Macaca mulatta: one gene and its partners. The protein of the gene in region 1 binds, or shares a complex with, the protein of each later gene. Links are inferred from orthologs where the notes say so. Each region holds a gene or a part of one and is shown in the gene's direction. Other genes may lie near its edges. The genes, in order: SLC3A1, SLC7A13 and SLC7A9.

The links.
Region 2: the proteins of SLC3A1 (region 1) and SLC7A13 are in contact, whole or in part, in a cryo-EM structure (PDB 8WK6), measured with the Homo sapiens proteins. The link is inferred for Macaca mulatta from reciprocal best matches to the Homo sapiens genes SLC3A1 and SLC7A13. Residues at the interface, in NP_000332.2 of Homo sapiens: Pro64, Tyr65, Ala66, Gly67, Met68, Pro69, Lys70, Leu73, Phe76, Ser77, Arg81, Tyr82, Pro85, Arg86, Leu89, Phe90, Thr93, Ser96, Val97, Leu100, Ile101, Thr104, Ile107, Ile108, Ser111, Cys114, Leu115, Glu194, Asn195, Asp202; in NP_620172.2 of Homo sapiens: Ile120, Phe123, Phe124, Pro125, Ser126, Cys127, Leu132, Pro133, Cys136, Leu137, Leu139, Ala140, Met141, Trp143, Ile147, Arg151, Lys187, Thr265, Arg267, Asp281, Arg282, Glu450, Cys454, Tyr455, Gln457, Leu458, Leu459, Phe460, Asn461, Ile462.
Region 3: the proteins of SLC3A1 (region 1) and SLC7A9 are in contact, whole or in part, in a cryo-EM structure (PDB 6LID), measured with the Homo sapiens proteins. The link is inferred for Macaca mulatta from reciprocal best matches to the Homo sapiens genes SLC3A1 and SLC7A9. Residues at the interface, in NP_000332.2 of Homo sapiens: Pro64, Tyr65, Ala66, Gly67, Met68, Pro69, Lys70, Leu73, Phe74, Phe76, Ser77, Tyr82, Pro85, Arg86, Phe90, Thr93, Val97, Leu100, Ile101, Ala103, Thr104, Ile107, Ile108, Ser111, Cys114, His201, Asp202, Thr373, Glu374, Pro375; in NP_001119807.1 of Homo sapiens: Cys137, Phe140, Tyr141, Val142, Gly143, Cys144, Pro147, Ile149, Val150, Cys153, Leu154, Ala156, Ala157, Leu160, Phe161, Thr164, Leu168, Thr279, Thr281, Asp295, Arg296, Tyr299, Tyr343, Val346, Arg347, Lys467, Thr470, Met471, His472, Gln474.

What each region holds. Positions count from the first base shown.
Region 1 is NC_133418.1:80,554,799-80,558,893, reverse strand, and holds part of SLC3A1 (amino acid transporter heavy chain SLC3A1), read left to right. Parts: intron 1-2,925; coding exon 2,926-3,105; intron 3,106-3,642; coding exon 3,643-3,797; intron 3,798-4,095. UniProt on the Homo sapiens protein: Acts as a chaperone that facilitates biogenesis and trafficking of functional transporter heteromers to the plasma membrane.
Region 2 is NC_133413.1:96,680,940-96,685,034, reverse strand, and holds the end of SLC7A13 (solute carrier family 7 member 13), read left to right. Parts: intron 1-3,106; coding exon 3,107-3,370; 3' UTR 3,371-3,707; downstream 3,708-4,095. UniProt on the Homo sapiens protein: Associates with SLC3A1/rBAT to form a functional heterodimeric complex that transports anionic and neutral amino acids across the apical plasma membrane of renal epithelium.
Region 3 is NC_133424.1:44,155,621-44,160,393, reverse strand, and holds the start of SLC7A9 (B(0,+)-type amino acid transporter 1), read left to right. Parts: upstream 1-1,792; 5' UTR 1,793-1,883; intron 1,884-3,025; 5' UTR 3,026-3,050; coding exon 3,051-3,137; intron 3,138-4,773. UniProt on the Homo sapiens protein: Associates with SLC3A1 to form a functional transporter complex that mediates the electrogenic exchange between cationic amino acids and neutral amino acids, with a stoichiometry of 1:1.

The sequences.
Region 1 (4,095 bases):
TGCAAGCTCCGCCTCCCGGGTTTTTCACGCCATTCTCCTGCCTCAGCCTCCCGAGTAGCTGGGACTACAGGCGCCCGCCATGTCACCCGGCTAGTTTTTTGTATTTTTTTTAGTAGAGACGGGGTTTCAACGTGTTAGCCAGGATGGTCTCGATCTCCTGACCTCGTGATCCGCCCATCTCGGCCTCCCAAAGTGCTGGGATTACAGGCTTGAGCCACCGCGCCCGGCCAACACGGTGGTTTCTAATCAGCTCTGACGTTTGCCATTTCCAATACCTGTTCTTGGAGAAATGTTTTACTTCCTGCAATCCATAGGCATTTGTCTTTGAGGTTGAGAGGATTTCGTTGTTGTTATGATGAAGATCCCATTCCAGTTTTGAGTCTGGTTTTACTGATTGCCCTCTCTCCCCCTAAAATGTGGGGTGGGATCCCTTGTTTACTTTCTCTCTCTAGCCACTTTGTTTTCATCCTCATGTTCCTTTGTGCCTCATCATAAGATACATTGTGTTGCTGTGCTGGCTTAGATCAAAACTCTTTTGTTGCCTGTTGAGTCCCAGCTACTCGGGAGACTGAGGCAGGAGAATGGCATGAACCCGGGAGGCAGAGGTTGCAGTGAGCAGAGATTGCACCATTGCACTCCAGCCTGAGCGACAGAGCGAGACTCCGTTTCAAAAAAAAAAAGCAGCCTGTTACAGGGGAAGAGCCCAGATCCTAGGTGTGGAATGACTGTGCTTTGGAATTAGTGACCTTCAGCCTGCTGTGTGGCCTTTGACAGTTTGATTCTAGGAAGCCACATCAGGATTATACAGAAAGTTACTGGAGATTGAATACTAGACTCAAGTTGCTGAATATGCATTTAGGACTCTGAACTAGAAGGAGAAAACACATTATCTGCTCGTTATCCTACGAAGTTCCAAATACAAAGTTTCATTTCCACATGTCTTCTCAGCTAAGCCTAAAATTCTCTTCTGTATAAATTCCTGGCTTCCTATATAAGTGAATAAGGGAAACAGGCCAAATGTGGCAAGTTCAAAGGCAGTCTGAGAGTGGAAACAAAGACTCCTCAAATACTGGCACAGACTTACCTTCCGTGTTGTGGTTACACTCCTCCTCAGACCCCGGGCGCTGACAACATTTATCACCTTTTAAAATTAATTGATGTATTTACTTATTTATTTATATTTATTATTATTATTATTATTTGAGATGGAGTCCCACTCTGTCACCCAGGCTGGAGTGCAGTGGCATAATCTCACCTCACCGCAACCTCTGCCTCCCACGTTCAAGCAATTCTCCTGTCTCAGCCTCCCAGGTAGCTAGGATTACAGGCATGCACCACCGTCCCCAGCTAATTTTTGTATTTTTTAGTTGGGATAGGGTTTCACCATGTTGGTCAGGCTGGTCTTGAACTCTTGACCTCAAGTGATCCACCTGTCTCAGCCTCCCTAAGTGTTGGAATTACAGGTATGAGCCACTGTGTCCAGCCTTCTCACCCTTTTTTAGACATGCCCTGTCTATGCTTGCTCCCTCCTTTCCTTTGCTGTGCCTGGAAGCCCTTCACTCTGATCCCTCTTGCCCGCACCATCCTGGGCCTTGTCTGTCCTTACCCTCAGGGGTCATCAGCTTCCTCTGCCCCTGGGGGCCAGGGGCTAATGCCCTGATGCCCTTAAAGCACTTTCTGCAGCACTTCCTTAGCTCTTCTCCAGTCTTGTCGTCATGCCACCCCTGCCTGCAGACGCTTCCGAGACCAACACCACCCAAAAGAAACACAATGGGAGTCACATAAGAAATTGTAAATTCTGTAGTAGCCACATTAAAAAAAGGAAAAAAGAAGCAGGTGAAATTGATTTTAATATGTTCTGTTTAATCCAATGTATCATTTCAACACATAATCAGTATAAAAATATATACATATTATTATTATTTTTTTTTATTTGAAGACAGGGTTTTATCATGTTACCCAGACTGGTCTCGAATACCTGAGCTCAAGCAATCTGCCCACCATGGCCTCCCAAAGTGCTGGGATTACAGGCATGCGCCACCATGCCCGGCCCAGTATAAAAATATTAATGAGATTTTTACATTCTTTCTTTTTGTACAGGGTCTTCAAAATCCAATACATGTTGTTCCCTTACAGCACAGCTCAATTCCAACCAGCCACGCTGCCCGTGCTCAGTAGCCACATGTGGCACCTGGCTGTTAGAACAGTGCAGTGTAGACCACGTGACCGATGGGGCCATGTGTTACTCTGCTCTGTTCCTTGACACTTAGCTCAGGAGCTGGCATAGATTAGCTGCTCAAAAACTATGTGTAGAATGAATGAACAATACCATAGTCTTGGTTTTAAATATAAAAAAATGAGTAAGTCACAGATTTTTGTTAATGCTATGTTAAATATCATCGATTACTGCTAGGTAACTAATTTGATTTTTTCTTTTCTTTTCTTTTTTTCTTTTTTTTGAGAAAGGGTCTTGCTCTGTCGCCCAGGCTGGAGTGCAGCGACACGATCTTGGGTCCTTGTAGCCTCCACCTCCCGGGTTCAAGTGATCCTCCTGCCTCAGCCTCCCAGGTAGCTGGGATCACAGGCATGTGCCACCACGCCCAGCTAATTTTTGTATTTTTAGTAGAGACAGGGTTTTGCCATGTTGGCCAGGCTAGTCTTGAACTCCTGACCTTAGATATCCTCCCTCCTTGGCCTCCCAAAGTGCTGGGATTACAGGTATGAACCACGACACCCGGCCTAATTTGATGTTGTTGTTTTTTTATAGAGCTAGATCTTCCTATTTGAATTATACTCAAATTCAACAAAATTCTATGTATTTTTGCCTTCATGTAAATATTTCCATCTTAGGCATATTTGTTATATTTTTTGTCCTTTAACTAAAACAAAGTAGGATTTGTTCATGACTTTGACTTTTTTCTTCAGGTATTCAAGATAAACTGGACTACATCACAGCTTTAAATGTAAAAACTGTTTGGATTACTTCATTTTATAAGTCGTCCCTTAAAGATTTCAGATATGGTGTTGAAGACTTCCGGCAAGTCGATTCCATTTTTGGAACGATGGAAGATTTTGAGAATCTGGTTGCAGCCATACATGATAAAGGTAAGTTGAATGGAAAGTGGGCAGCATGGGGGTGAGGGTTGAGAGAAGCACTTTTTCAAATGTTTACTTAAAGCATTTCTTCCCTTTAACTGTCGTGTACTATTTCTTTCCCTCCCTCCCTCCCTCCCCTTCCTTTCTTCCTTCCTTCCTTCCCTCCCTCCCTCCCTCCCTCCCTCCCTCCCTCCCTCCTTCCTTCCTTCCTTCCTTCTCTTTCTCTTTCTTCCTTCCCTTCCCTTTCCTTTTTTCCTTTCTCCTTTCCCTTTCCTTTTTCCTTCCCTATCTCCTTTCTGCCCCCCCCCCTTTCCCTTCTTTTTTTTTTTTTTTTTTCCAGACAGGGTCTTGCTCTGTCTGCCAGGCTGGAGTGCAGTGGCGTAATCATGGCTCACTTCAGCCTCCACCTCCTGGGCTCAAGCAGTCCTCCCACCTTAGCCTCCCAATGTATTAGGGTTACAGGCGTGAGCCACTGCTGTGCCTGGCCTGTCATATGTTATTCTAATACAACTTTTCCTAGCATTTGAAATTTTTTTTACTCATTAGGTTTAAAATTAATCATCGATTTCATACCAAACCACACCAGTGATAAACATACTTGGTTTCAATTGAGTCGGACACGGACAGGAAAATATACTGATTATTATATCTGGCATGACTGTACCCATGAAAATGGCACAACTGTTCCACCCAACAACTGGGTAAGTATCAACCTGTCTGATTTACAAAGCGGTAAAAGGCAGATATGCAGTGATTGAACTGGTTTAGTAAAACCCTTTTGAGGAAAAAATTAATGAATATAGTTTATGGGAAGGGGGAAGTTTCTGAAAGAAATAGACGTAAGGCTTCCAGTTATTATTTACCCAGACCTCCAATTATTATTTAGGTTTCTGATTTCATCATAGAGGTGATGTGTTCTAGCAAATTCAAACCTATATTCTCTCCTTCCACTCTTGCTTCACTTCCTACCTGATCCAACTTGGATTCCATGTCCCATTA
Region 2 (4,095 bases), on another chromosome or scaffold:
AGATATTGAGTATAACTGTATTTCAGATTATAATCAAGGCATCTATAAGTAGATCTTCTGAATACTCAGTTATTGTGAAACATAAGAATAATCTGGTCTTGGTTTTAATTTTCATTTTTATTGGCTAGGTTACTCAATATAAAGTCTCTTATATTCCATTTAATGGTTTATTAGAGAGAAAAACAGTTCTCTGGATGGTTAGACAGATCATTATGAGTCTTTTGAACAGATATTATTTTGTCTACTTATGTAACTAGTTATGCATATGAATGTCTTCCACAGTCAGGGTCAGATTTAGCAGATGAGAAACAGAAGAGGCAAGGTGAGGTCACAAGTGATAACATCCACTGTTCTGAAACATCAACTTACTTTGTTGGCAAATTCCAGTCTTTCAACTTTACTTATTTTAAACTGACTTTCAGTCTGGATGAAAAAAATTTTCACAGGAGAGGAGACAACCATTTAATTGTAGAAAAACAAATAAGCAGCAAAACTTGGTAGCATAAGAATGTTATTGGAGAGAGATGGCCCTGACACTGATGATCAGAATAATAAAATAATCTTGGTTGCCTAGGTAGGTTGTTCAAAGCTTGGCTTGGATGATCACCTTTAATCCTCTCAGTAATAGAAAGGTGGATTCTATTGTTATTCCCATTTTACAGATAAGAAAACAGACTTAGAAAAGTTAGGTCACTTGCCCAAGCTCACACAGCGTGGATTACAGCAAGATTTAAATCTAGGCAGTCTCTTTGGAGTGTTTGACTCTCGCTAAATACAAAATATACGAAAGAACTGCTGAGAGAACGAAAGCAATGTTCCCATCACCAGCTGTGGTTGATTTATGTCCTTCTTTCCTTTCCAGCCTTCTTTTCAACTTCTTCCATCCAGTCATCTCTTAATTGTTGTGTATCTGAGTATTAGTTGTCAAGAAGCAACTATATTTTAAGCACCTTGCTAGGTACTCTGAGTAGAAAAATAATTAAGACTTGGCTCCTGCCTTTAGTCAGGTTATAATCTATCTGGACAGTCATGTAAACCAAAAATCATGGCGTGATGATTGCTACCTAGTGATCTGCAGAGGAAGCTCAGAGAACACATACGGAGAGAGATCGAATCTACAGCAGGGTTGATGGTCATAGTCCCCCTTGGATGTGCCTCCCTAACGTCTGCTCTCTGTATAGTTTCACATGCTGCATCTTTTTAATGTCTTTTGCTGTTTTCTCACCCACACTTTTGTTAGATCACTGACCCTAATAGATACAATTATAAAGAAGTTATGAACTGGGGGATAAATTAGTTATACACAAATAACAGCATAAGATAATCATTAAGAGCTTTGGGCTCAAGTCCAGTTGCTTGGCTAATAGCTGAGTTTAGTCTTGTTATTGAACCTCTGAACCTCAGTTTCTTCAGATGTAAAATGGGAAAAAATAATACCGACCTCCTATTAACATTGGATGTATTAAGTAAGCTAAGGCATGCAAACAATCCAGGGTCTGACATTGATGGCTATTATTGCTTATATTATTATTCAACTTACATTTGCATCAGAAAGGAAGGCAAGAACAGCCTTAAGTACAAGTGGCTAAAATTTGTCTTGTATGCCCCCAGGAGTGCTCTTTTCTTTTCTCTCAATTATTTGATAACTGATACTGAGCCATGAGATGATAAAGTATCTTTATTATTTATTTATTTATTTATTTATTTTGTTTTTTGAAATGGAGTCTCACTCTGTCGCCCAGGATGGAGTGCAGTGGCGCAATCTCAGCTCACTGCAAACTCCACCTCCTGGGTTCACGCCAATCTTCTGCCTCAGCCTCCCGAGTAGCTGGGACTACAGGAGCTCACCACCACACCTGGCTAATTCTTTTGTATTTTTAGTAGAGACGGAGTTTCACCACGTTAACCAGGATGGTCTCAATCTCCTGATCTCGTGATCCGCCTGTCTCAGCCTCCCAAAGGGCTGGGATTACAGGTGTGAACCACCGTACCCGGCCTAAAGTATCTTTTTCAAGGATGCTTTATAAACTAAGAAGAGATTTTTTTTTTTTTTTTTTTTTTTTTTTTTTGAGACAGAGTCTCTTGTCGTCCAGGCTGGAGAGGCTGGAATGCAGTGGCGTGATCTTGGCTCACTGCAACCTCCGCCTCCTGAGTTCAAGTGATTCTCCTGCCTCAGCCTCCCAAGTAGCTGGGATTACAGGTGCCCGCCACCACACCCAGCTAATTTTTGTTTTTTTAGTAGAGACGGAGTTCCACCATGTTGCCCAAGCTGATCTCGATCTCCTGACCTCATGATCCACCAGCCTTGGCCTCACAAAGTGCTGAGATTACAGGCATGAGCCACTGTGCCCGGCCAAGAAGAGATTCTTAATGATTAAATCCCAACAAATAATCCTCTAATGAAAGGGTTTTGTTTCATAAATTATGACTAGCTGTGTTATATATATCTTTGGGGAATGTAGATTCATATTAGTTATATCTTATATCAATTTTCTCCCTAGGTTGGGTAATGTTGTAGAGAACTCTTACAATTCTAACACAAAGCAGGTACCAAGGACTGGTCTTTAAGGCTTTTGGCAAAACAAAAACAAAATATAAAACAGGGAAAATTGTTTTAGCTAAAATTTTTGTCTTGATTTTTTTTTAATATGTTGAGCCTATAAAGTTATAACATTTACCTGTCAGTATTTACCTGTGTAACAGAGGGTCTGAGGATGGTTCTTCTGTTTTGTCATGAATTTCTTACTGCCTTGAGATATTTTCCAAAGAAGATTTTTGTTACTTCCATTGGGCCTTAGAAATTCCCTCTTAACAGATTCATGGTACTCAGATCAGTAGATTGTGATCTTATCAGCAAATGGTTCTAGTTATTTCCATTCATGGACAGTCAAATGCTAGATGTCCATTCCCTCCAACCTGACAATGTGTCTTCAACGTCTCCTTTCACTCAGGCATTTATCTGACTTCTAAGCCAGGTTTATTCAACTTTACAGCTAATTTAGCCTGTTTAATTAGCTTGTATCTCTGCATTTTTATTTATATAAAGATGCAGGTATCATTCATGGATGTTCATATCTAATATTTTTTCAAACTTTGCTCTTTTCAGGTGTTTCTGCCATTTCCATTAACCACAATAGTCATCGACGTGGGCTTGGTTGTGATACCATTGGTAAAGTCTCCAAATGTGCATTATGTCTACGTGCTTCTGTTAGTTCTCAGCGGATTACTATTTTACATACCTTTAATGCATTTTAAAATAAGATTGGCTTGGTTTGAGAAGATGACTTGCTATTTACAATTACTATTTAATATTTGCCTCCCTGATACGTCTGAGGAACAGATGTCAGAAGTGCAAACTGTTAAAAAATAGCCTTCTAAAAAACATATATCAGATTCCAAATCAAGGTTAAACACATGATAGAACATTCATGGTGAAATTCCTATGGTAACTATTTTTTTTTCTCAAATGAAATAAGTAATGTATACAAAAGTACCCAAGACAGTACCTGGCTTCAAAGTCACTAAGAAATTGTTATGCATAACTAAAGCTCTGCTTTGTGTGGTAAAAAACTTAAGTCCTGGTTTGCATAGCTTGATAGAGTGATTATACATCTCCCATTCTCTAACTCTTTTTTCTGTATCCCACCCCTTTTCTACTGAATTTGTGGGAATCCTATAATAAAAGTGAATGACTAAAAATTTTAAAAGCATTCCTTATCTTCATCTTTCCTGAGTCCTTTTTTTTTGAGGTGGGCGGGGCCAGGGAAGATGCTGATTTGAAGATGAAAAGAATAATTCTATTTTTCCAGTTGGCTTTTCCCTTCTAGAATGCAGCACTTTTTTTTTTTTTTTTCTCATCGAGATGGAGCCTCACTCTGTTGCCTGGGCTGGAGTGCAGTGGCGTGATCTCGGCTCACTGCAACCTCCACCTCCTGGGTTCAAGGGATTCTCCTGCCTCAGCCTCCTGAGTAGCTGGGGTTATAGGCGCCTGCCACTATACTCAGCTAATTTTTTGTATTTTTGGTAGAGACTGAGTTTCACCATATTGGCCAGGCTGGTCTCAAACTCCTGAACTCGTGATTTGCTTGCCTTGAC
Region 3 (4,773 bases), on another chromosome or scaffold:
CCGCTTTGCAGATTCAGATCCTGATCCTGGCAGTGCTGCCTGAGCCCATGTGGGGAGTGGGTGAGGTTGCAGGGCTGTCTGGTGTCTGGCCCCAGCAGGGGACCACTGCCCCACCCTGCCCTCCTCATGTGGTCTCCTGTCAGCCCGCCAGGAGCACGTTTCCCCAGGGAGTATTCTGTGGTGTTTTGCAAACATGGATGTGCCAGGTGCTATGACGAGGCTGCAGCATTAGGAGGAGTGACCCCAGCAAGCCTGTGGGCAGGTTCTGTCTGGGGGTGGCAGGACCTGCCGCCAGCCCCTGGCTTCTACTCTCCAGCCTCTCTGCTCAGGGCTCTGGGCATGGCAGGCAGGTAAACAGGCTGTGCCCTCCCAAGATGGGAGATAATGAACTTTTTTTTTTTTTTTTTTTTTTGAGATGGAGTTTCGCTCTTTTTGCCCAGGCTGGAGTGCAATGGCACGATCTTTGCTCACTGCAACCTCCGCCTCCTGGGTTCAAGCGATTCTCCTGCCTCAGCCTCCCGAGTAGCTGGGATTACAGGCATGTGCTACCACGTCTGGCTAATTTTTTGTATTTTTAGTAGAGACGGGGTTTCTCCATGTTGGCCAGGCTGGTCTTGAACTCCCGACCTCAGGTGATCCACCCGCCTCGGCCTCCCAAAGTGCTGGGATTACAGGCGTGAGCCACCGCGCCCGGCCTGGAGCTGATGAACTTCTAAATCAGGTTCCTGTGCTCTGCAGACGGCTTTGAGAGAAACCTGTGCCTCTCTCAGGTCTGCTTGCCCCAAACTGTGCCCCAAAGACTCGCCCAGCTCCTTCCACCCCTGACCTTTGCTTCCATCCAATATCTGGGATGCAGTTAGGTTTGCCTCGAGGCAAAGCTACCAGAGTTTTGGCTGAAGATAACAGCTACAATGCTTCACACGCAGTGCTTATGCTGTGCCAGGCTGTCCTGCCTGTCTCATAAGGTGCTTCCTTCCCTATCTGAAAGGGCTTAGTGCTGACCTCTGAGGCTGCCGCCTGACCCAGGGTCCAGTCGCAGCGCGGGAGAACCTCTGCTCCCTCCCGGAGACATCCAGACCCTGGCAGCCCTGGATGGGGACCGGAGCTTCCTGGCCATGTGTTTCCTGTCCCCCCATAGGCCTCTGTTTCCCCGATGGGGAAGGTTTTGTGTCCCTTGTGTCTGATGAGCCAGGACATGGCTACGTGAACAGCACCACAGCCAAATCTGATGGGCATTTGGCCACAGCTGCAGGGAGGATGTGGGGGCCTGCACTGCCTCAGGCCTGCTCGTGGCTCCAAGTGGTGAAGCCCCATCACTGGTAAAGAGGAGTGGGACGGGCTCAACCGCTCTCACCTGATCAGCCAGAGGCAGGCCCGGGGCTTGGGGGAATTTCCTGGGCAGGGAGGAAACTGACAAACAGCTGAGTTACACACACACAGCAGTTCCTGTTTGAGCTGCCTGACTTGGGTTTTAAATATAGCCTATTAAAGCAATTAGAGAATTGGTTCCAAAGTTTACCTCCTCTGATTCCCAAAGATAAAAGAAGGCATAATTTATTTTATCTTTAGGTAAAAAGTGTAGATGATTTGGGACTATCTGGTTTTAAAAAAATAATCTGACCTAGACACAAATGAACAAAAACAGTTTTGGAGAGAAATTGGTCTGCCTCACCCTCCCCTTTTTGTGTGGCGTATCTAAGCTTCATGGCTAAAACAAAACCAAAAAAAAAAGGTGTTTAATAATTACCTTTATTGACCTCTGTACCTTCTGGACTTCCTTCACTCCTGGGCACAAGACATGGCCATTCCTAGGGTTGGACCGTGCAGGCACGGGCGGTCAGCTGGGCCGCAGCTTCTCCGGCTCTGCAGGGTCACGGAGGAAGGTAAGGTCCGTGGGTGATAGAAAGGCTCATGGCTCTCCTGGCCGGGGCCTGGACAGAGAATTTATTTAGAGAGAGGGTACAGTGGTGCATGGTTACCTCCTAATTCAGTCTGGAACTGGGTTTCCTCGGCAATGTTTTCATTCCTTTCATCACTTAATGAAAAAGTACCTGGCCAGGTGCGGTGGCTCACCCCTGAAATCCCAGCCCTTTGGGAAGCCAAGGTGGAAGGACTGCCTGAGCCCAGGAGTTGGAGGCCAGCCTGGGCAAATAGCGAGACTCACGTCTTTACAAAAAAAATATTGTAAAAATTTAAAAAGTACAAAGAAAAAGTACCTGTATTGTATTGTGGCTCTGTGATGTAGGGGAGTGTCTTTAATCTTGGGAAGGAATTATAAGACACACACTCCTTACCTGGACTTGATTCTGATAAATACATTCCACAATATTTTCATTTTTAAATTTTTTATATTTTATTTTTTTGAAACGGAGTCTCGCTCTGTGGCCCAGGCTGGAGTGCAGTGGCACGATCTTGGCTCACTGCAACCCCCACCTCCCAGGTTCAAGTGATTCTCCTGCCTCAGCCTCCTGAGTAGCTGGGATTACAGGCACCCGCCACCATGCCCAGCTAATTTTTTTTTTTTTTTCATTTTGAGTGGAGACGGGGTTTCGCCATGTTGGCCAGGCTGGTCTCAAACTCTTGGGCTCAAGTGATCCGCCCACCTTGGCCTCCCAAAGTGCTGGGATTACAGGCCTGAGCCATTGTGCCCAGCCCAGGATGTTGTTAAATATTTCTTTTAACTTTTGGAAAAAAAAAATGAAGTTGGACCACGGAGGTAGAATAACTTTCAAGGCACAGGCACGTGGGCCAGAAGGCTCCCGGGGCCTGTCTGGGAGAAAGCTAAGCAAGCAGCTGAGCTTTGGAGAACAGTGGGGAGCTGTGTTCCCCTGCCTGGACAGTGTTAATGACTGACTTTGACTCTGGGGCCCAGCGCATGAGCCCTGCAGGACTGGCAGCGGCCCCCGCCTGTCGCAGTAACCAACACTGTGCTTTTGGAGCCAGCTCCCCTAGTCCAGGCCGAGCTTGCACTTGCATCTTGTTTGCTGCTGCTGAACCAAGATTCAGCTGTGTGCCTTCCTTGCAGTCTCCTGGAACCAGCAGGAGGAAACATGGGGGATACTGGCCTGAGAAAGCGGAGAGAGGATGAGAAGTCGATCCAGAGCCAAGAGCCCAAGACCACCAATCTCCAAAAGGAGGTAAGGCGGTCTCTGGCGGGGCGGGCCCTTTGCAGGTTAGGCAAGGGCGTCTGAACGAGGGGCGCAGGCAGTGAAATCCGGGCCGATCCCTAGTGACACGGCAGAAGATGTGCTCTTTGATTTGTGAATTACATCTTTAAAGGGACAATCTCTGAACCTACTTCTTTCCCTCTTTCCCTCTCACCAGGGAACTCTGTATATTCTTTTTTTTTTTTTTTTTTTTAGATGGAGTGTTGCTCTGTCGCCCAGGCTGGAGTGCAGTGACGCCATCTCGGCTCACTGCAACCTCCACCTCCCCGGTTCAAGGGATTCTCCTGCCTCAGGCTCCTGAGTAGTGGGGATTATAGGCGCCCGCCACCATACCCGGCTAATTTTTGTATTTTTAGTAGAGATGGGGTTTTGCCATGTTGGCCAGGCTGGTCTCGAACTCCTGACCTCAGGTGATCCTCATACCTCGGCCTCCCAAAGTGCTGGGGTTACAGGTGTGTGCCACTGCACCCGGCTGCATTTTTTTTTTTTTTTTGAGACAGTGTTGCTATGTCGCCCAGGCTGGAGTGCAGTGGCTTGATCTCAGCTCACTGCAACCTCTGCTTCCTGGGTTCAAACAGTTCTCCTGCCTCAGTCTCCTGAGTAGCTGGGACTACAGGCATGTGCCACTATGCCTGGCTAATTTTTGTATTTTTAGTAGAGACAGGGTTTCACCATGTTGGCCAGGCTGGCCTCCAATTCCTGGCCTCAAGAGATCTGCCCACCTTGGCTTCCCAAGTGTTGGGATTACAGGCGTGAGCCAACTTGCCCGGCCCACATATTATTTTAAGTTCATACCTGGGTGCTTTTGTGTGTTGGGCAAATGTCTAAAGGGGCCAGTAGTTTTGTTCAAACTAATGACCTTTCCAGGAATGGTCAGAAAGGGCCTCCTTTTAAAAAATTAAAAAAAAAAAAAAAATTTAGAGACAAGGTCTTGCTCTGTCACCCAGGCTGGAGTGCAGTGGTACAATCATGGCTCACTGCAGCCTCGACCTCCTGGGCTCAAGTGATCCTCCTGCCTCAGCCTCCGGAGTAGCTGGGACTACAGGGGTGCACCACAATGCCCTGCCAAATTTTTAACTTTTCAAAAAATTTTTTTCTGTAGAGGCACGGTCTTGCTGTGTTGCCCAGGCTGGTCTGGAACTCCTGGGCTCAAGCCATCCTCCCACCTTGGGCTCCCAAAGTGCTGGGATTATAGGCGTGAGTCACTGTGCCCAGCCAGAGAGGGTGTTCTGATGGTTGAGTCCCCTCTAAATGCCTGTCCCTCTTATGTCTGAATGGCTGTAGTAAGGGGAAGTACTGCCCCCAGCATAGCCTGTTCTGTCTTAGAGGCATCTACCAGGGACGGCCGCTCTGAGTTGGGGTGCAGTGAGCAGCTGGGGCTGGCCCTGGGCCTGGAGGGGAAGGGAGCTTGGGGCTGTGGGAAGGCAGAAAGGAGCTCCACACGGGTCACCGCGGCAGGCCCAGGCAGTTGGGAGCAGCAGGTGCTGAGCATGGAGGAGTGGGGAGGGCTTCAGGCTCCGAGGAGGAGGAAAGGCAGCCCTAGGCAAGCTCGGGATGGTTTCCGCTTCCAGGGCAGTGGTGTGGGTGGGGCCTCCGAGAGCTCCCA